Drosophila melanogaster: one gene and its partners. The protein of the gene in region 4 purifies or fractionates together with the protein of the main gene of each other region. This does not show direct contact. Each region holds a gene or a part of one and is shown on either strand. Other genes may lie near its edges.

What was found.
Region 1: the proteins of Tmep (region 4) and CG7668 purify together in Drosophila melanogaster (affinity purification with mass spectrometry, with the first as the bait; one large-scale study listed by BioGRID). This does not show direct contact.
Region 2: the proteins of Tmep (region 4) and CG12012 purify together in Drosophila melanogaster (affinity purification with mass spectrometry, with the first as the bait; one large-scale study listed by BioGRID). This does not show direct contact.
Region 3: the proteins of Tmep (region 4) and Scamp purify together in Drosophila melanogaster (affinity purification with mass spectrometry, with the first as the bait; one large-scale study listed by BioGRID). This does not show direct contact.

What each region holds. Positions count from the first base shown.
Region 1 is NT_037436.4:20,001,148-20,005,383, reverse strand, and holds CG7668 (uncharacterized protein), read right to left. Parts: upstream 2,649-4,236; 5' UTR 2,467-2,648; coding exon 2,392-2,466; intron 2,082-2,391; coding exon 1,021-2,081; intron 968-1,020; coding exon 835-967; 3' UTR 550-834; downstream 1-549. Other genes in the region: Tom20 (translocase of outer membrane 20), read right to left, coding at 3,225-3,534, 3,948-4,023, 4,088-4,217.
Region 2 is NT_037436.4:3,375,197-3,378,541, reverse strand, and holds CG12012 (uncharacterized protein), read right to left. Parts: upstream 1,786-3,345; 5' UTR 1,662-1,785; coding exon 1,595-1,661; exon of another isoform or gene 1,544-1,594; coding exon 1,242-1,543; 3' UTR 550-1,241; downstream 1-549. Other genes in the region: Ids (iduronate 2-sulfatase), read right to left, coding at 54-257; CG12010 (uncharacterized protein), read right to left, coding at 1,955-2,451, 2,508-3,308.
Region 3 is NC_004354.4:15,445,636-15,451,737, forward strand, and holds Scamp (scamp), read right to left. Parts: upstream 4,249-6,102; 5' UTR 4,133-4,248; coding exon 4,070-4,132; intron 3,874-4,069; coding exon 3,646-3,873; coding exon of another isoform or gene 3,598-3,645; exon of another isoform or gene 3,224-3,597; intron 2,946-3,223; coding exon 2,744-2,945; intron 2,390-2,743; coding exon 2,260-2,389; intron 2,196-2,259; coding exon 1,787-2,195; 3' UTR 544-1,786; downstream 1-543. Other genes in the region: Ahcy (adenosylhomocysteinase), read left to right, coding at 4,756-4,780, 5,032-5,222, 5,760-6,102.
Region 4 is NT_037436.4:1,567,495-1,575,192, forward strand, and holds the start of Tmep (transmembrane endosomal protein), read left to right. Parts: upstream 1-1,686; 5' UTR 1,687-2,047; intron 2,048-4,406; exon of another isoform or gene 4,407-4,491; 5' UTR 4,492-4,492; coding exon 4,493-4,744; intron 4,745-4,797; coding exon 4,798-4,963; intron 4,964-5,029; coding exon 5,030-5,288; intron 5,289-5,474; coding exon 5,475-5,814; intron 5,815-6,051; coding exon 6,052-6,126; intron 6,127-6,185; coding exon 6,186-6,270; intron 6,271-6,499; coding exon of another isoform or gene 6,500-6,534; exon of another isoform or gene 6,535-7,238; intron 7,239-7,493; coding exon 7,494-7,698. Other genes in the region: CG12003 (uncharacterized protein), read left to right, coding at 1-33.

The DNA of each region.
Region 1 (4,236 bases), about 18 Mb from region 4:
GGAACAACGCGACTTTCGATTGAAACATACTTTCCCTTCTCATTCAATTGCTACCGACGACGCACACCGTTTACTGCGATTTAAAGCAACTTAAACCGCAGTCAATGAGAACAGAAATTCAACTGATTCGACTTTTCGTTTCGAGGTCCTAACGAGTTGGGCCATGTCCTGCGCTTGCAACCTCCAGCTGCAACCTCCAACAGCAACTTCGAGCTCATCCGGACCAGCTTGAGCATGGAGCACCCCTATTTCCCCTTCTGTTATTGAGTCCTTTGACCCTCTCTGGTAAAAATATCCCAGCTTTATTGCGGAGAACATGCATATGTCTGACTTGTTACATGTTTTAGACAAATGTATTTGTTATTGCTAAATATTTTGTGAGGCTAGGAAAATGCTCCACTTCACTGTTAGATGCAATTTGTTGCCTTCTGCAGATTTTTATGTTTTATTTTTTTTTTTTCTATTATGTATTATTATTACTATTTATCAAAATATATTTATATTTTATAGAAACTTGGGCAATTTAATACGGCATTCCTGCGATAAAATCGATTTTATCAAACGCGCCATCTGGTGGGATTTTCATGTAAATTTCCCTCGACCGTAAAATAACAAAGTCGGTATTATTACGATAAAAAAAATACCAAGCGAAGCTAGATTTTACTTGCAAATACAGCATACAGCATTTATAGGACCTTCAAGCCTGTTATCCACTCTTTGGTCGACACTAAAACTTAACATTCTACAATAATTAGGCTGAAAATGAACAGGTAGAAATTATTTTACAACTTTTATTTCCGTGACAATGTTATTTGACAAGCCATTATACTTGGCTCACGGCATTGGTCTGATTAGCATTTTGCACGACTTCAGGGGATATCTATTACCAACATTCCAATTACCCCACCAAATGCCATCGGTCGTGTCCAACTCAACTTTGGAATTCCGATATTTTCCGTTCAAGTTACTGAAAAAGAATTATTTTTCAAAATCATTAAACAAAAACAAGTTCATACATACCAGTTCATTGTACCCCACCATTTCGATGATTCCATTGCAAACGGATTTCCAACAATAATATGGTTTATATGACTGCGAAATGCGTCGCCAGCATTTCCTGAGTATTCGCCAAGGGAAAGCAGTTTGTATTTCTGTTTTTCATCGCCAATAACAAAATTATCATATCTTGCATAAGCACTAGCATTGTCGAAATCGACGAGCTGGATATATAGTTCCATTCGTCGATGTGTCGTCATTTTATGCAATTTTTGTAGGCCAAGCCAGAACTCGCCACCCAAATCCCCACAGCCCGTTATTATATTTGATTCAGTGGCGTTATCGAAACTGCCATCGATTCTACGCTGGATTATCATCCAACCACGACCGGCAGAAGGAATATCCTCGAAAACTGAGGCAAAGGGTTCGAAATCAGGTAGTGTCACCAATTTAATTGAAGGCAACTTGGAAGAGCCCAGTAATACGAATTCATCGTGGTCCTTATTATTAACGTTATACTCAGACAATATCTCTGTCATTTTCACTATCTTTTCGTCCTTCGCCTTTACTGCACCTTCCAATTGCACAATTTTTAGCTTCGACTCGTCAATTTTGAATTCTAGTCTGGCGATTTCCGCCTCTTTTGAGTTCAAAATTTTCTCGATTTCAACAATCTGATCATTCCCCTCTCGAAATTTTCCATTTTCCATATTTAACTCCTTTCGTTCTTTCACAACTTTATCATGCGCTGGAGCACAATTTCCTCCATCGTTCTTCTTAATTGTAATCCTACTCAAGTCGAGATCACTTTGCAAGTCCATAATTTGAGTTTGTAACTTCTGTATGGTCATTTCTTTTGTTTGCGTTACTAAGTCAATCGACAATTGCAGGGTCTTAATAAAATCATCCTTATCCTTGATGCAGTTTTCAAGTATACTGCCCTTCTCCTGTTGGGCCTTCAGATTTATTTCAGCCTCCGCCAACTTTCGGGTGAGTTCCGATATTTTCCTCTCATCTTTTTTCTTATGTTTCAGCATTCCCCGTGCACTTGTGCCCACAAATTCCATTTCCGAATCACTGCTGCTCTGAAAAACGAAAGAGTATACAATATTCGCTGAGAACTATGTGCATGAATTCATGATTACGATCACTATCGGATCTGACTGAGTCTATTCAAAGACACTAGAATCGGAATTTGGGGAAGTACATATAAAGCGAAAAGTTTTTATCAAAGACATTAGAATAATAAAGACATTAGACATTATTATTTTAGTGTCTTTGATTTTTATTTTACTTGTGAATTTATATCAATACACCAAAAGAATTTTCAAATTTCTCACACGTTCTTCTCTATCTATGTAAGTAACGAGAATCGAGAAAAATCTTATTGCTCACCGAATTGTTCTCAGTGCTGGAATCTGGAGAGGATCGCGAATTCTGAGAAAAGTTGTTCTGGTCCTCCGGCTTCATGGGGATTAATTTATCAGCACCACGTTTTATCGTACCTAAAAGCACTCCAAACGGAATTTGCAATAATCCGTGCAATAAATTTAAAGATGTAAAGCAAGTGCCTATATTTGTAACAACTCAAAATACAAAAAAATCCGATGAATTGCACGTAGCTGTTTAGCTCTAAGTGTTACCAGATATGGACTGAGGGAGTTACGCAGTCCGGCTAGAACATGGCATAGGGGGTATTCCGTAAATTTAATTACTGGGTATCATCTTTGAAAAGGAACTTTTGCATTTTCAAACTATTGCTTTAAATAAGTGTATAAGAACCATTTCTCATTTGATTAAGCTGCCTAGATGGCAGTAGTACGCTTTTCCTATAAATAATCACTTATATTTAAATACCAAAGAAACTTTGGAATACCTTTATTATCAAACCGGTTAGGAGATATATGTATTTATTCCCAAGATATTCAACATGTTAATAATCTTTTATTGTTGATAAACTTTCACACACTTTAACACATACCCTGTTATACATACATATTGCAAAACATTTAGGTCTGCAGAGTTGATCTTTGATATTCGCCTAACGTAAATACCACGCACAAAACAAAGCTCAATTGTTAAGTGTTAACAGTTTACGCATATTTATTTGTATGTATTGGGAACATCCAGAGAAATCAATATATAAAAAAAATATAATGTTTATATGTGAAGCCCTTAATTTCTACTGTTGAAATTTATATCTCAATTTCTGTAGCCATCTCCAAGTACTATTCGAGGTCGTCGATACTTGCGTTTCCAGATGAACACTCTATAATTTTGGCTCCGTCCAGTTGTTGCTCCGAGCTCTGCCCCAAAACGATTGGCCCGTCGTTGCCCTCGGCCGCTCGATTGCCGAACTCCTGCATCTTGACGATCAGCATCGCGAATACTTGAGCTGGAAGGGAGGATTGCAGCACCTGCAGCAGACGAGCCGGCTGGCCACACACGACGATGGCATTCGCCAAGTGCTCCACGCCACTCTCGAAATCTCCGCGGGCGATCAGGGTCTCGCCCAGCTGGATTTCTTGAAGGAAATATCTGCAAATATCATGGTTTAATTAGTTTGGAACAGCTGATTCGATGCACACTATTACGAATTAAATTAATGCCAGGCAAATTAGGTGCATATAAATAATATAAATTGTGCACAGTTGCAACAATAATAACTATTTGTATATTCAAATTATGAATTTCTTGGCAGGAAGCCTGCTGAGAATCCAAACACTGAAATGTGCTTGTTAATCCAAGGCAGTGGAGTCTTTAGATGCCTGAGGCAATAAGCAGCAACACGATGAACACGCAAGTGTAATGGGACTCCACATAAAATATGTACATCGATTTGGCTGGAGAAACATATGTGGGCTTGTTTGTTTGAATGGAGGTGTATTGAATCGCCAGGCACCACTACACGTGCCACATTATATAATGCGACTCCCATGGGAGTGTCCTACCTTTCGATGGCTTCATGGTCGTTCAGATTGGGAACTCCAGACTTGGCAGTGCCGGTTTTCTTGTTGCGACGGCGACCTAGGAAGTGATGAAATGATGAGTTTCTTTCATAATTCAGTTGGGGCGCAATGGGGATTCTTACGCTCACGGACTTTCTTCTTGTACTCGGGATCGCTGCGGCGCTTCTTGTCGAAGTAGATGCAGTATCCAATAAACAGAGTTCCAGCTACTCCCGCTGCAATGCCGATTGCAGTTTTGTTCATTTCAATCATATTACTACGGAAATCCTCT
Region 2 (3,345 bases), 1.8 Mb from region 4:
CAATATATATGTGTTTTATTAGGTCCGCACATCAATGATCACAGGCTGCCCACCTGGCTGTAAACTCTTGTAAAGATGTGACTTCCTCTAGCAAAGTTATCCAAATACGGCGTGCTGGCCAGCGTATCGCCATAAGCTCCAATAACTGGACGCAGATCATCAAAGATCACCATCACCACATTCGGCCGTCGTGGCGGAGCAGCTGCGTCCAGCAGCACTGGCATCATCAGCGAGAGCAGGAGACGAGCAGTGATCATGTCTACGGCGAAGGAAGCTCACAACTGTTGACTCGAAGATGCCGACACGGCGGATGTGGATGCCGGCGAATTTGTTGTGCTACCCTGTGCCCATGAAATCTGATAAGGGGGTATATCAGCGGCTCATACATTTGGTTTTATAAAAATTTTGAAAATCAAGTAATCTATATATATTCAAAAATTCAAATATCTAAAATATGGCGTTTTGAAGGGTTTTTCTTTTAATCTCCTGATGCATTTGAAGGGTATATTTATGTCATTCCCAAATTCATTTAAAACACTTCACTTGTTTACTGTTTTGCGCGGTAAAGTCCAAAGAGCATGGAGAAGAGAAATCGGACGGGCGGCGCAATTCAAAACCGCCCTCCATTATATTTCAATTGAATTTAACGGAAGCGCGCCTCGTCGACGCTTACAGTGCACATTTTACAAGTACAGTAAAAGTTCTATAATCACGAAATGCAACAGTGGGTCAAATTATTCACAAATCAAGAACTAATGAAGTTTTGTACAACCTAGTTCATATCTAAAACCGTCCAAGTCATTATATCTGCGTACCATTACTCTAAGATATAATAAACATGTTGTAAACCTTTTATTTAAATATATAAATATTTTTTCTTTTGTTTGCAGTTTAAAACTTATGTTACTTAAAATCCTTGTAAAAAGCCAAATCACTATTCAATTGGAAAACATGTTCAACTGATTTTTTTTAGCATTTTTTTCATAACTGGGCTTACTGATTTGAATTCGAGTTTAGCATATTTCACTGTACATGACCATTCTCCGGACAGGGACTGGAATGGAATCGGGGGCATTCCGCAGGCTGGCATGAATAATATTTACACATAGTATATAATGATTTGCGAGCTAACGATTAACAATAACAAAAATATTGGTGCTTTGTGATAGTCACCCACCGCGAAAGCCTAATAGGGATCAACTTTTAGCGTTTCTTTATGGATAATTTCTGGGTAATCCCCTCTAGAAAACCGTTCCGCAGTTGGAACAGCGCTTCTCACGCATGGCCAAGCAACAGAGAATTCCCAGCGGGAAGAAGAAGATTGCGCAGCACAGTCCGCAGGCGGAGAAGGTGTCCTCCAGGTATCCAATCCGACATGCAGGGCATCCTCCAATCACGATGATCTCGGTGGGCATAGCGACCGGAGCAGGCTGAATCACCACGCTGACCGGCGTCGTCTCGAAAGCTCCGTAGGTTGGCATGTGCATGTTTGGTGGCGGAGCACTAGGTGCTCCCTGATGCACGCCCACTATCAGCCGGGAATCTAAAAAAGATGTGCATTGAATTGGATGCCTTTAGTGAGCCTATTACTTACCCTGCGAGGGACTGTTCATGACTTCTTCGTAGCTCGGCGGCGCGGCGTCTTTACGGGTATCTGCCATTGTGGCCGGAAAGCTTTTTTTTGTGACTCACTGCTTCTTGTTATGAAAATAGTCTAGGCTTTTTTACTACGTTTAATTGCGTTAACTTTTTCTCTGCGTTTTCTTTGTTTTGCCGCAATCAGTTATCGTTGCAACAGCTGACTGCGACTATTCTATCGATTGGTAATCGTGGTCGCGGGAGTACATATCGTAAATCAGTAGTTTGAATTTGAGCAAAGAATTCTACGATTTAACATCTTAAAATACATTTATTTATGCAAAACTAACAAATGCAACTGCACATACATCTTGTTCTATAAGAACCTATAAGCAAACTTATAGTAGCCATCTATTTGGCTTTGAGTGAGCGAGGATTTCTGCTTGGTCAGAACTTTTTCAAAGTCTTGTAGCTCAATTTCCGTGGCCTTAAAGTCACGTTGAAAAGCCTCGATAGCCGCCTCATTGCAGAGATTACACAGATCCGCTCCAGAATACCGGTCTGTTCGGGCAGCAATCTCCTGGAGAAACACATTTTCATGGAAAGGCATGCGCTGGGAGTGGAGTTTTAGCAGAGCCAGGCGGGATTTCTCATCTGGGGCTGGTACATGGATAAGCTTGTCAAAGCGTCCTGGTCGCAGTAGGGCATCATCGATCATATCCGGTCGATTGGTGGCTGCAACGACAAGTATATGTTGCTGACTACCACCCCCCACAATGCCATTCATTTCGGTCAACAGCGTGGAGAGAATCCTCAGCTGAACTTGTCCACCACCTCCGCCACTTGAGACCGTCCTTCTGCCAACAAGCGAATCTATAAAATTAAGTGGATTAATCATTTTTATGGCAAATTAAGCTTATCCGACTCACCTATCTCATCTAGAAATATAAGACAGGGTGCATTTTTTCGCGCTGTGTCAAAGATTCGCGATATAAATCTTTCCGCGCAACCGACGTAGGGAGAGTACACCTCCGCCGCCGACGTAGCAATGAAGGTCATGTCAGCTTCCTTGGCCAGGCACTTGGCTACGGTGGTCTTGGCACATCCTGGAGGTCCATAGAGCAGCACTCCTTTGGGCAAACTTAGTCCGAATCGAGCAAAAGCGGCACTTTGTCTTATACCCGCTAGAACGGAGACTTGCAAGGTACGTTTCAGTGCTTCCATGCCTCCGATAACCTCAAACCCAGCCGTCATCTTCGAGACCCGCACATCTGTGGATCGAGATGCACTCGGTTGAGTTTGTGACAGGGATTTGAGGAAAATGTGCTCTATGTCGAAGTCGTCTTTTGTTAAGAGTTGCTGTTGAACGCGGCGCAGGAGTAGTGTTAAATCCGCTATCACATATCCCTGAGTGTTTCTCGCTATATGCTCGAGTAAAGTCTGTGAGATATTCAGCTCGTGTACTTCGCAGAGATGCTCTACGAGTTGTCTGCGCTGCCCTTCGCTGGGCATATTAATGGTCACCTCTCGGACGAACCGCCTGCGCGCATGTTCATGCAAGGAGTCCGGGACACCAGAAGTTGCCAGACATATGATGCCTCGAGGAAGTGCGTCTAGCAGTTTGTAGAGCTCAGCTGAAATTCGTAGGCTATTGCTAGAGTTTTTTGCATCTGCGACAGCCGTTGAGGGGCAGAGCAGCTCCAGATCCTCAATGAGGATTACAATTGGCACTATAAATATAAAACTAATTAATATTTCAAACGTAAA
Region 3 (6,102 bases), on a different chromosome or scaffold from region 4:
GCAGTAACTATGCATTTCCAGGAACATTCACTTTCGACCATGTTCAATCGTCTTAATTACCGACTGGCTTACGTAAACTTTTCTTCTTGCTAATTGATTTTCCATCGAATGAGTTCTCGAAATCAAAGGTCTTCGTGCACTTTTAAATGACATTGTACATTTCCTCTTAATTAAGAGTCGATTATGGCGGTAATCCGAACTATTTGCCAGTCATTTTGTGGGGTTTTCAATTTTATTGGAATTTATTTATACAAAACAAACTCAAGATTAAAATCTATAAGCAAACTGACTAATATAAACACAAGCATTGATGGCAGTTCTATCTATTATATAAATTGTGTAAATACCTCCATGCAGATAACCAGCAGTAATAAACCAAGAATTTAAGCCTGATTATTGCGTTTCAAGGCTGGGATTTGCAGATAAATAATATGAATATCTCAAAAGTCTTTATACCCCTTTAATTACGCACCAAATTATGCATTTGAATTCTCTAGAAATGAGTACCAAACAACCCATAAATTCAAAATCAATGCTTATTGTACATCTATAAGTATTTTATATTTATTTTGGAATTTATCATAAATTTTGCTTGAATTTTAAATACACATCCATAGATCGTCATTAGCTATTCTCAATTCAGTTTTAAATAGGTCGTAACATAATAAGTTTGACTTGCAAGCAAAACAGAAACGAACAAAATGTATCTAAAAAATGTGAATACTTAAGTGAATCAATATATTTTATATGCTGTCTTCATGTACATAGATAATAGATAATATATAACAATTACGATTACAAAAAAACACGACATTTTATGTGAGTGCAGGACAGTGACGGCGGAAAAAGGGGGTCGGGACATGGAACAGGGGGGAGGGAGGAGAGGGGGACAGTGGAGCAGTGGGCGTAGGAGCACAGCTTGGATGAAAAATGAATTTCGCTTTCTTGTTGTCTCTCTGGTCGAGGCGACGAGAGATAAAGTTCTATAATGTAAGCGTTAAATATATTATTTATATTATGTTTGTTATATATATAAGATCGTATATATGTGAGTGTGTGTGTGTGTGTGTGTTGCGTGTGCGAGGGAGTGGGGTTATTCCTATATCGTTTTAATGACTTAAAGAACTAGAAAACATCATCATCAGCAGCAGCAGCAGCAGCATCATCGTCATCAGTGTCATCCCTTTCGCCTGATTAATCTGGGTTAGTATCAGAATCGAATTATTCCACAGGACAGAGACAGACACACAATAATTTAGTCTAGATACTTGTATTTGGAGGCATATATCGTGCGATTAAGATGTCCTGTCTACTTGATCCGCTGCAGCTGCGTGTCGAAGGCATCGTGGGCCGCTTTAGTTTTCCTTTTGTTTTTTTGTTTTCTCCTTTTTGTTTGGTTTTTTTTTCACTTTCAGTTTAGTTCCAAGTTCGGTTTTGTTCCGTTTATAAATATTGTTTATGCATTGTGTGTTGTTTCTGTGTTATCATTACAGTAATTATTTGTAATAAAGACGACGGCATTCTAGGAATTGTTTATGCACAAAAGCAAATAGTTATTAGTTCCATGCTCCAATGCTAGCTTTAGTTTCATGTTTTTCTTTACTTTCATTTCGTGTTAAGCTATTTCAATGTTTATTAAGTGTTCTTTCTCCATCTCCCTCTCTCTGGCGCGGCTATCATCATCTTTTTCTGTCCCAGTTAAGCAGGATGAGTGCTGCTTGAGTTCGTGGTTGATTGATTGATTCTCCTTTTGATTTGATTAGATCCCCGGAAAGCAGAGTGTCACTTAGTACCTGCTGTTGTTAAACTGCGAATTGATGGCCGTATTAACGGCCGAGGAGGCTGCTTCCTGGACGTGCTGGTTGCGCAGAAACTCGGTGGTGAACTCCGCCTGGGCCTTGGCCATACTGGCCCCTGTGCTGCGGTAGATCGAGTGAATCTTTGTGATCATCAGCACATTGGCCACGGCCACCGCTGTGAAACAGAATGCCACGTTCAACAGCAGAATGCCGACGATAATACCCGACGCTTGCCCATCGAACTGCCCGATGGCCGTAATAAAGCCACAGTAGCCCATCTTGTTGAAGCCCACCGCCTGCACAATCGAGTACAGCGTTTGAAAGAAGTAGATGAAGAAGAAGACCATGAAGTTGAAGCTCGAATCGTTGCGGAATGCCTTGTACGCCGGTCGGAACCTGAAAATTAATCACACATCATCACATTATTCATGTTTTAAGAATCTTCCAGGTATAAACTCACCAGCAGACATAGGAGGCGGGCGAGAAGAGCATCGTGTAGAAGATGGCCAGGAAGAAGGTCTCGAATTCGCCAGCGTGGAACAGCAAAATTAGACCGCCTATCACGTTGGCCAACAACGTCATGGTGTAAACTGTCGGAGAAAGTATTCAAAATAGACACATACAATCAGCATAATGCTATAATCTGTAGGGGAAAGCATTATTATATACTATATACTATGCATGCAGTAAATAATGCTAGAAATGCATTTAAAAACTATCTTAATACTGATAACATGTAAATCAAACAAATTTCATGCTCCCCTCTTTGCAAGCATATTCTGCACAAAGGCACGCACACATCCAAGACCATTAGCCATTCAGCTATATCTGATTAATAATGGCATCGGCCTGTAGACGACACGCGATGACTAATTCCACAACCTATGGCACCGCTTATCAGCGAAAACATGTAGAAAACACAGCCATAAAGAACCAATACTCACAAATCCAAATGTAATACAATCGCTTGACCAGTTTCTGGAACTCGGGCGGTATCTCCACCTCGAAGTCCTGGTAGAAGCACGGCTTTACACAAAAGTTATCCGGCAGCGGTGGCCAGTTGTTCAGCTGCGGCACATTGCCCTGTAGCTGCTGCTCGCGGCGGTCCAGTTCGGCGGCCTTGCGGTCCAACTCCTCCTGCCGGCGCTGGATACAATGAAAATCATATGATTATCGACTGTTTTATATATACATTTTGTATGACTTAATAAATTGGCCGTATATGGTAAATACTTTAAATCTTATTCATTTACATATTTGGGAAAACAAAGGCGAAATTCAATGATAGGAATTCACATCCAAATCTTGAGTTTGTTAAACTTCTATCTTAACCTCAGGCATTTGGCCTATCTATAGGAAATATTCTGTACAAGAATAAAGTGCAAACTTAAGCCTCCAAATCATATGTATTTAGATCTACTAACTAGTATTTCTTGAATTATTGTGTAGGGCCGAAGAAGCCAAGTAAATCAAGAGAAACCGCAGTTTGCACAGTGAAGACTCGGCGCGGCAGCCGCTTCTAGTCTCAACCAGATAAATGCTCCAAAGCGGATATATCGTTGGCAGATCGAGATAAGCCCGCTTATCTTTCTGACTCTTGATGGAGAGTAAAATGTGATATGCCTGCCCTAATCCCGGCACTCTAGCAAAGTGATTACTGTACAGACTTTTAGGGCAAACTTTTAGTGTAACTGTGTGGTGTGGTCCATTTCGATTGTTTCCGAGTATTTGGATGTACATATGCGGTTTTTGGAGTATTGCGGATGTGGCCATGCCGGCACAGCACACCGCAGAGTGCTCACTGTTGTGTGGGCGGTAACGCGAGACGACCGGCCAAGTGGGTTACCTGCAGCTCCTCCGAGGTGATCTGTATGCTGGTGCTAGGCGCCGAGGCGCCCAGGGAACTGGTCTGCGGGGGCGGAATGTTCTGCGATAGCGGCTGGACCACCGCCGCCGTGTTCGTTGAGTTGATCTGCAGCTGCGGCTTGGCCTGCTCCTCGAATGGATTGTAATCCTCAAGAGAGACAAGGGCGGCGCCGCTCTGGAGTCGTCGTGCCTGCTGGATGGCGGGGTCCTGCGGGGGAAAACCGGGAAATCCCAATCAGAAACCAATTCATTCAACATATGTGACGAATGCACCCAACACACACACACACTACACTCACAGGCACGCACACCAACACCCCACCTTTGCGTACGTGTGCGTGTGTGTGCGATGGGTTTTTTCTTCGGCTTCCGCGCTCTCTCTCCTAGCTCTTCTATCGCCTCACCGCAAACGGATTGTCCAGATTGGGCTCCCCGAAGGGATTCTCGTCGAGACCGGAGCCGGACATGGGAATTCTACTTTGGATACGGCTGTTCAATGACCAGAAAAACGCACTGACTCGCACTTTGCTTTTCGCTGTGTATATTTTCCCTAAGACTCTGCTCAGTTATCGATGTCGGTTTTAGTGATGGTTCAGCATCGATAAGCTTTCGTTGGGAATCAAAGTGTAGGCCTCAAATATCGAAAGAATTACTTTAAAGAATTAATGTTATTTGAATTACATATTAAATTCATTTTGGCAGAAAAACTTATTATTTAACACATTTAACATTAATCTAGAATTCTGAAAAATGTGAATAACTGGTATACAATGGTCTGATTTTTTAGGACCTATTAATACATTTTATTAAAATGATAGCAAAAAGAAAAGATTCTATATACAATTGGATGTAAACCAGCAGTTATCATATGAATTTTAAATTTAAATGGCAACAATCGTGCCAATCGGAACTGCTCCAGCTGAACCAGCTGCGTGGAACCAGTTCCCATCCCTGGGGCCGCCATTCCGCAATTGGAATTCTAGTGTCTTGGGTTGCGATTCGATTCATTTACCGCTGCCCGCGTCTCCAATTCGGTTGTGTGCGATTCTGTCTGCTCCGCATCCAAGTCAAACATCCAATCCTTGCAAGAATGTCGAAGCCCAGCTACAAAGTCGGTGAGTTGCGTTATAAATAAACCCAAACGGATGGCAAACTCTCGAATCGAATCTCCGGCCGGCAACAGGCGACATGTGCGGGTGAATTGCATCTATTCATGAGCACATGTTTCTGAGGTTAAAAGAGAGACAAAACAGAGGAGAGCACGTTGTTGCTGGGGCAAAAAACGTAGAAATTCAGACCGTATGGTGTATAAATCAACAGTGCCTGCTTATCTGACCCTATCTCCCTTTTATATCCCACTCGACAGCCGATATCAGTCTGGCGGAATGGGGACGCAAGGCGATCATTATTGCGGAGAACGAGATGCCCGGTCTGATGGCCTGCAGGAAGAAGTACGGCCCATCTAAGCCCCTCAAGGGCGCCCGCATCACCGGCTGCCTGCACATGACCGTCCAGACCGCCGTGCTCATCGAGACCCTCGTCGAACTGGGCGCTCAGGTGGGTTCAGTGCCTCTTTGGCGCTCTAAATGATTTTATGCATCGTACCACCATTCGAATTGTATGCCCAACTGTAGGTCTGAACAGTCGGGATAATACACAAAGATAGCATCATTTCAATACTAAAAACCATTTCAAAAACCATAAAACCGACCAAAATTCCGTAAGGAAATTGTAAATTAGGTAGAAAGATAGGTATCTCCAAGCATTGTCCAAGGGCTGGTCCCTTATCACCTTTGGTTTACGCACCAATTTGAATAACAAAACTTTCGTTTAACAGCAGGGGGGCAAGTTCAAGGCGCCCAAGATAAGACCTCCAGATTGTTATTTCCTCTGACGCAGCACCATCTGCTTCAATCCTCGCACATGGCAACTATTTTCTGCCAAATGCTGATGTCCTGAAATACATAGATTTCCTGATATAGATCAATCCTATATGCAATGCAAATCAGTTTGCAAATATCTATATAATTTAGGTTCCTTCCCATCCACATCTCAACTTCAACGCATGAACTACATTTTCATTCTTTTATCCAGGTCCAATGGTCCAGCTGCAACATCTTCAGCACCCAGGATAATGCTGCCGCGGCCATCGCTGCCACCGGCGTGCCCGTGTACGCCTGGAAGGGTGAGACCGATGAGGAGTACATGTGGTGCATCGAGCAGACCTTGGTCTTCCCCGACGGCCAGCCCCTGAACATGATCCTGGACGATGGCGGCGATCTGACCAACCTGGTGCACGAAAAGTTCCCCCAGTATCTGAAAAACATCAAGGGCCTCAGCGAGGAGACGACCACCGGTGTCCACAACCTGTACAAGATGTTCAAGGAGGGTCGTCTTGGCGTACCGGCCATCAATGTCAACGATTCGGTGACCAAGA
Region 4 (7,698 bases):
AACACGCTGCGATCGCGTGGTCTAAAGTATTGAAAACTTAAACTAAGTGTACACTCTTAAAAACAGTCGAAATTATAGTTCTTAGAGGGAGATTACCATCAAAATTGCCAATCGAAGCCAGCATTGTGGCTGCATTTATCCATATATCATTTATAATTATAGAAATATATTTTAAAAATTGTTTGATAGCCTTAAAGTTATGTACCAATATGAAATAGTGGTATGTTTTCCGATCAAACAGCTATTAAGACTATTTAATGGTAAGCGCTATAAAACCCAATTGATATGTTGCCTTGGCAATGCTAAACAAATCCGTTGTTTTATTTTCTGCATTTTATTAGCATGCTTGTTAATAAGAGATCTTTCAGTTCCTGAGTGATCCTAGCTAAGCAAGACTTTGTATCGGACTACCTATGTTTCGGTTTAAAGCCAATTCAGGTATGTTCGCTAATACAGGTATTTACTACGACCAAGAGCAATATATATATTTCTACCCCCGAATGTGTGACAGGCGGTACACAATTTATTCGCGGAAATGTATTTACATAATGCCTTTCATCTTGAAATCGAATCTGGAACGGGGCTGCTAGTAGAACCGAGACTGTACCCTAAGCATAAAATATGAATTGCACACCGAAACGAAACAGAGCGCAAAGAGGAATCTGCGAGTCGTTAAGCACCAATCAATACTGATCAACATACTTTTGGGTAATGGTTTTAACCGATTTTCACTGTTTCCAGCAGTTTCTTGGTTTTTCTTCTCGCTCCCGTGCAGTGTTGTTGTTGCTGCTTCGAAGTCGTTGATGTTGAAGCATCTCCACGGGAAGAAGCAGAAGCGAAACGAACGAAGAGGAGAAGCGGAGGGGGCGAGGTGTCGCTGTTTTAAGTACGAGTACTGAATTTATTCAATGAACTTTACTCACCATGAAAACCATTCAAAACTCCACTTATTCTGGACCACCAATGCACAAAAACAGTTGGGTTTGTTTTGGCTCAATTGCTATATATTTATTTTGATTATTCCTGCTGATGATCGGCCTGAAAAATTTATATTTTCCTGGCAACACAAAAAGTGAAATGCTGTTTTGTAATTCCTACGCTTGCGAGGGTTTGGTGACAGAAAACAACATGGCTGACACGAAAAGTGTGACCTGTAGTCGTGCAGCAGAAAAAAATCACTCCGAAGACCACGGGCACCCTGTGAGCAAAATATGAAGGGGTTTCTGAAATGCGATTTGGTTAATTGTTAAAAACAATTCTAATTCGTTAGTCACTATATGACGTTTATTTAAAACAATAAAGTAACCAAACAATTACATTTATTAACCTTTTAAATTTTAATATAATCTATGGTATATGTTGATCTTGCAAGATTGTGCTGGAGTATTGAACAATTGAACATTAACGAGTCTTAAATGTGCAAGTGCTACAAAATATTTTTCCCTGTTAATTTAATTGTTACTGCTAACTTAAGTTTGTTACCATATTAGTTGGAATTGCTTATGTTATTTTATCCGAAGTCAAGCGGAGCGCAAGTGATAAGATGCGCCTGTGCGCGTGATGCACAGTGTGAACACTTGTGGTATTTAATTAGCAAACGAAAAGAAAATAACTACGCAGCACTCCCACGCAAATACTGTAAAACATATGTTTCGGTATTTTTTATGTATTGGCACGCAGATTTTAGCGCTTAGTGTAGTTAGGTCACACACCAACACGATTCGTGCGTAGTTTTCATTTATTTTGCTCCGCTTTCCTTCGCTGTTTTCACACCCACGATCCGCGAAAAAAACATCCAGGAATCGTGTTCAAACATTGGCAAACATATTGCGTACCGCCGCGGCCATAAGTCAACCGCTGTAGGCCATTCTTTTAGCCCCAAACAAGAGCGACGACGTCAGTGGGCGACGCGACTGGCGTCAGGTGAAAAAAAGAAAGAAAAACGTATTGAGATTTGAAAATCTATATAAAACGGGTGCAGCGAAATTAAACGGAATTTGCAACTGTGAAAACGCTCTAAAGCGTGGAGAGTTGCATTTGAAAAAAGGTAATTAGCGTACCAATTAAAAAAGGAATTGTTCAGTTTGTGCGTGCAGGTTTTCTGCATGTGTGTGTGTTTGTGTAAAAGTTGTTTTCCCTGAAATGGCAGGTTGTGGATTACCCGATTCGATGACGAAATTATTGAGCTCGTTTTCTGTGTTTTCGTTGTTGTCAATGTACTTTTGCATTGATAAGCAAGGTGTTAGTGTACTTGTGTGTGTTTGTGTGTGCGTGAGTGGAAGAGCAATGAAGATAAGCTCGAGTCTTCTTCTTTCCCCACTCTCCAAAAGGTCGTTTCGCATATGGTTTATTGACGCTGCATATGTTTTTGTTTTTGCCTGAAATTCAATTTACCCACTGAAGCCCCACAGCAAGGCTTCCGACCTCCAACACACCCTGCTCCATAATTACCAACTTACCGCGCCTCCTTTTCCCTCACAATCATCGCAATATGGCTTTTACTCGTCTCTTGCCACCTTTGGAGACTCTTCTTCGCTTGGAGACTTTTGCTTGGCCAATTTCTGTGTATCTCCGCCAGCAGCAACTTGTTGTTGCTTCTTCTTTGTGCAGCTGATTGTGTTTCGCTTAGCCTTCTCTCACTCTTCTTCTGCCTCTTCTTTTGGCCATTTACTTCTGGCTTTCGGTGTCGCCGAGATTCGTAAGCAAATTTCAAGCGTTTAACATTTAACGCTTTGCGTTTTGCTCACAAATTCGAGTTCAACAATGCGAGTATTATTAACTTTTGCACGAGTTCGTGACTCATTCGTTATCATTAACGTGATTTTTATTCCCCTAATGGGAAACTCTTGTCAGCACAACTGGAATACTCACAATATACCATAAGTATTCAAAACATCCAAAGAGTTTTTATATTTGAATACCATTTCTGGAGATAAAATGACTCTATAATCACAAAATATCCCATTTGTTAAAACTAAATCATAAAAAAAGGTGTTTATTACACCTTTTTTTTGTTAAGTTTATTAAGTTTTTAGTGTTTCCCAACCCTTTAGTGGTGAGTCAGTGTTTCGAGCTATCTTGTACTTGATGTTATTAAAAATGATTGGTAAAGGCACTCCTCAAAAAAAGAGTTTTTTTTTTAAATGGTGTTGAATAAATAATATCGGAATTTACCATGGGCGATACCCTTTTTTCCCACTGTTCAGCAAGGAACTTTGACATTTCATTTTACTTCCTGTTCGTCATTTCCGATATTTTCAATTCTATTTCACTTCGATTTGTAGGTTTTGCCTTTTTGGAATATTAGAGTAAGTGGATTCCACGCAAGATTTTAACATTATTCTGTATTTCCCCCCTGTTTCCTCGAATGCTTATCGCATTTCTTGGCCCCCATAATCCTCTTGAACTGCCATATGTTTCCGTTCCACCAGAACTTTCAGTTTATTTGTATCCATTGCACTTTCGGTTATTTTTGTACGCACAATAGCATCGCTGCTCAAAAAGCTCCCCATTCGAGATTATTTAAAAAAAAAAACTTCACTCAAATGGACTCAAGATCTATCAAATATGTAATTCATTCTGCTTGCTTTGCACTCGCCTATTGATTGGTTGGCATTCCCAGGCGGGTGAAATCGATATGGAGCAGTTTGAAGTGACCCTGAGACAAGGTGGAAGGTGGGTGTGGAGGTGGCCATAACTTTCCTTGGCTGCGCCAGAGTCCATTATTAATATTGGATTGCGTGATGATCTAATGCGCGCGCCTCTGTCCCTCTGCTCCCAAAATCCCAACCCAATCCCGTTCACCACCCGCCGCCCGCCGCCAACTCTTTTGTTTGTTTTTGTTTTTGTTCCTGCTGCCGCTCCACATTCCCCACTTTGCTTCTTGCTGACCCAAATCCGTCCAAACATTGTTGCAGTGCTGTCACAAATTTTGGGGCAACATGGAAAAGATTCATAGAACACATATGAACTTATCAAGATAAGAACATTTTCATAATAAACCTTAAAAATCCATATTCCAGGGCAATAAAAACACACAGATATTAATGCACATACATAATGGATGTTTATTTAAAATCATAATTATTCAATGACTATTATTCAACATCTTGCACATGACTGGATTCACAATTTCTGACCAAGCGTGTTGTTTAAACCTTTATATAAGTGCGAATAATTCGAAAGCATATGAAAATACAAAGAAATAATTCACTAATGAATTTAGATTATGAGTTAGGAGCTTGAATAAATCAGGTGTAACTATAATATAGCTAAGAGCGCAGCACAGCAGTGCTGAAATGGGGTTTCGTGTCTCTGAGTAAGAATGTCATTTTCGGAGCAATGTTCGTGTGAAAGTCGAGACGAGAACGTAAACATTTTGCCTGCCTAGCTGTCTGTGCTGAGCACTTCAACTGGCCGCACAATAGCTCCTGAACCTAGCCCAGTTACACCCACGCTAATCGGTCTTCCTCGTTCTGGATTCCATTGCAGCATGAGCACAACCGCCGCCAGTCTCATCGAGGCGGCTCTAAATGCCAGTAGTGGAAACGCCACGGCTACAACTGCGGGATCGCTTGAGGCTACAGGGAAGCCCAACTACGTGGTGCAGGTAAAGAACACTCCGATGAGCACGCCGCTGGACCCGCTGCTCCACGTGGGCGATGGCATCTTCCTGCAGACAAAGACCGCCCAGGTTCTAGCTGGGGTGTGCGTCTGGGCCGCCCTCTTCATCACATGTCAACAGGTGAGTTAAGGCGTCATTGGTCTGAGTTGTGTACTAATGGATATCTTTGGCAGATCTACCAGCACCTGCGCTGGTACACGAATCCACAGGAGCAGCGCTGGATCGTGCGCATTTTGTTCATTGTGCCCATCTATGCCACATACTCCTGGATCAGTCTGCTTTTCTTCAACTCGGATAACGTTTACATCTACTTCTTTACGGTGCGCGACTGCTACGAAGGTTCGGCTGATTTGATTTTGAATGATTTTTGCCCATCGACTAATTGCTAACCCCATTTCCATCCAGCCTTTGTCATCTACAACTTCTTGTCGCTGTGCTATGAGTACCTGGGTGGCGAGGGCAATATTATGTCGGAGATTCGCGGCAAGCCCATCAAGACATCGTGCCTGTATGGCACCTGCTGTCTGAAGGGCAAGACCTACACGATTGGCTTCCTGCGCTTCTGCAAGCAGGCCACTCTGCAGTTCTGCCTGGTCAAGCCGCTGGTGGCCTTCATTATCATCTTTCTGCAGGCATTTGGCCACTACCACGATGGCGATTGGAGGTAATGTGGTTTATCTTTAATGACCCGCGTTATTGCATCTGAAATGGTGGCATAAAAACAACGAGCGTGCGCAATAAATTACCAACTGTAAACCAGTAAATCTGCCATTAAGTAACACTTTGCAAAAGAGAGAACTTATAGGTACATATCATTCCCACTAATAATATCTCCTTATCTAAATTGCAGTGCTGATGGCGGTTACATTTACATCACGATTATCTACAACATCTCCGTGTCGCTGGCGTTGTATGGCCTCTATCTGTTCTACTTCGCCACGCGTGATCTGCTGACTCCGTTCGAGCCCGTGCTAAAGTTCTGTACCATTAAGTCCGTCATCTTCTTGTCCTTCTGGCAGGGCGTGGGTCTGGCCATCCTGGAGAAGGCCAATGTTATCTCGCCCATTGTAGACAGTGCAGGCACTGTTACCGTGGAACCCGGTACCGTCTCCGCCGGATACCAGAACTTCTTCATCTGCATCGAAATGCTGTTCGCCGCCATCGCGCTGCGCTATGCATTCCCCTATCAGGTGAGTTTTGGAATGTCGGAGTGGGCTAGATTTTACGCAGCTATTTACGATTTTTGGTGATTAGATAGTGCTGACTTGAGTGCTTTTTTTCGGTTATTTCGGTGTTTATTAAGCGGCTTTCCTTACACTTGTTAGATATGTGAAAGGTATTCGTGTAATGCTGACTTGGCTAGAAGAAATCAGCTAAAACGAAGTGCTTGCAGTAAAAATAACTTAAATGTTGTATGCTCTTTGTAGGTCTACGCACGCAGCTGCATCAGCGATGGCCACGGACGGTCTGTCACCATGCAGTCCATTTCCAGCAGTCTTAAGGTAAGCTGGAATATTTCCCTGGGAATTCCCGTATCTAAAACTCCCGCAATCCTTCGCAGGAAACAATGAATCCCAAGGATATTATGACAGATGCTATACACAACTTCCATCCGCAGTACCAGCAGTACACGCAGTACAGCTCAGGTTGGTTTTTACTCGCTTTCTCGTCTTTTTAGCCCAACTTCTTCTCTTTGTGCTCTGTGTCTGTGGCATGTTCGTTCTTTTCATCGAGCCTGCTTAACTTATCTTATCTCTTGTGTTCGTCGCTCTCATTTAATGCATTTCGATGCGAATTTCCATTACCATTTCCATTCCATTATCGTTATGTTTTTCACACTTTTGTTTTTCTTTCTTGTTTTCTTATCTTTTGCAGAAGTAACCTCGGCTCAGCGTTACGAAAAGCTCTAAATCAATATCAAAAGCAAAACTCTAGCGATGCTCGCTACTAAACACTAATTGCAATCACAATTCCACATTTCCGAGCGGGACGCGATCCGAAAGCGAAGCAAACAAGTGTACTTATAGCCCTAGCGCCTTAGCCCTAGCTTAATGCCCCACAGTATCCCCCGAAACCAAGCTCAGAGAGGAAGATACGTACTAGGCCTAGTTACTTACTTACTCACTCCACAAAACGCTGAAAGCTGAACAGAAATTAACTTAGCCAGTCCATTGAGTTCAGGGCTTTTAGAGTTGCCTCTGCGTCTGTGTTTCTGTATTTCCTACGTTTACACTCTACACCTAAACTTAAGCGTTTTTTAAAACAACTTATTTAGACGTTAGCTATGTACGAAACGAACTATAATATTGTACAATATTATGTATTTGTAAACAAAGATTTTATTATACTGTATGCAACAATGGCAGTCGCTGAACAGGATTCCCCATTCAAGCGATCTTCAAGCTAGTTTCCCCTCAGCATTTATTTACGTGTTTCCGTTTCGCTCAAAGATACCAAAAACGAAGTTTTTCCTTCTTTTATTTTGATTTCCCCTTTTGACCACCCTTTTGTGATAAGCTCTCGTCGTCCTTCTATTTACTTCTGTTTGTAAATGTTTAAACCAATTGTATAAAATATCTAAAATACTTAGCAATAAATGTACGATAAGCTTGACAACTGTTTGCCTCGCCTCGTTTTCTTCGTTGCATGTTTATTGGCCTCTTTCCAACTATATATATCATATATCCGTGCCTCGATTAAGATTTTTATCGTAGAATTAACTAATAACTAAAATCTTCAGTAACATACTTAATCGAGGAATGGTTGTGACAAGCATGGCATGATCTAATGTTTCTTGTTAATAAGTTAGACCCTCGATCTGTGTGACCCGTAACGATTAAGTCCATTCCCTCCAATGAAACCCGCACAGGTGGCAAGAATTCCCGCGGCATTCGCGTCTCCAGCTACGATCCCGACGATCCCAGCTCGGGAGCAGCAGCTGGAGGCATGCAGGCGTCGCAGCCCACCAGCGGTGGATACGATGCGGTGGCCACTGGACCAGGATCTGGCGGCAACGGCGGCAGCAACTGCATGGCCTCAAAGACGCTGGGCAACCAGAGGAAGTTCCAGCCCGG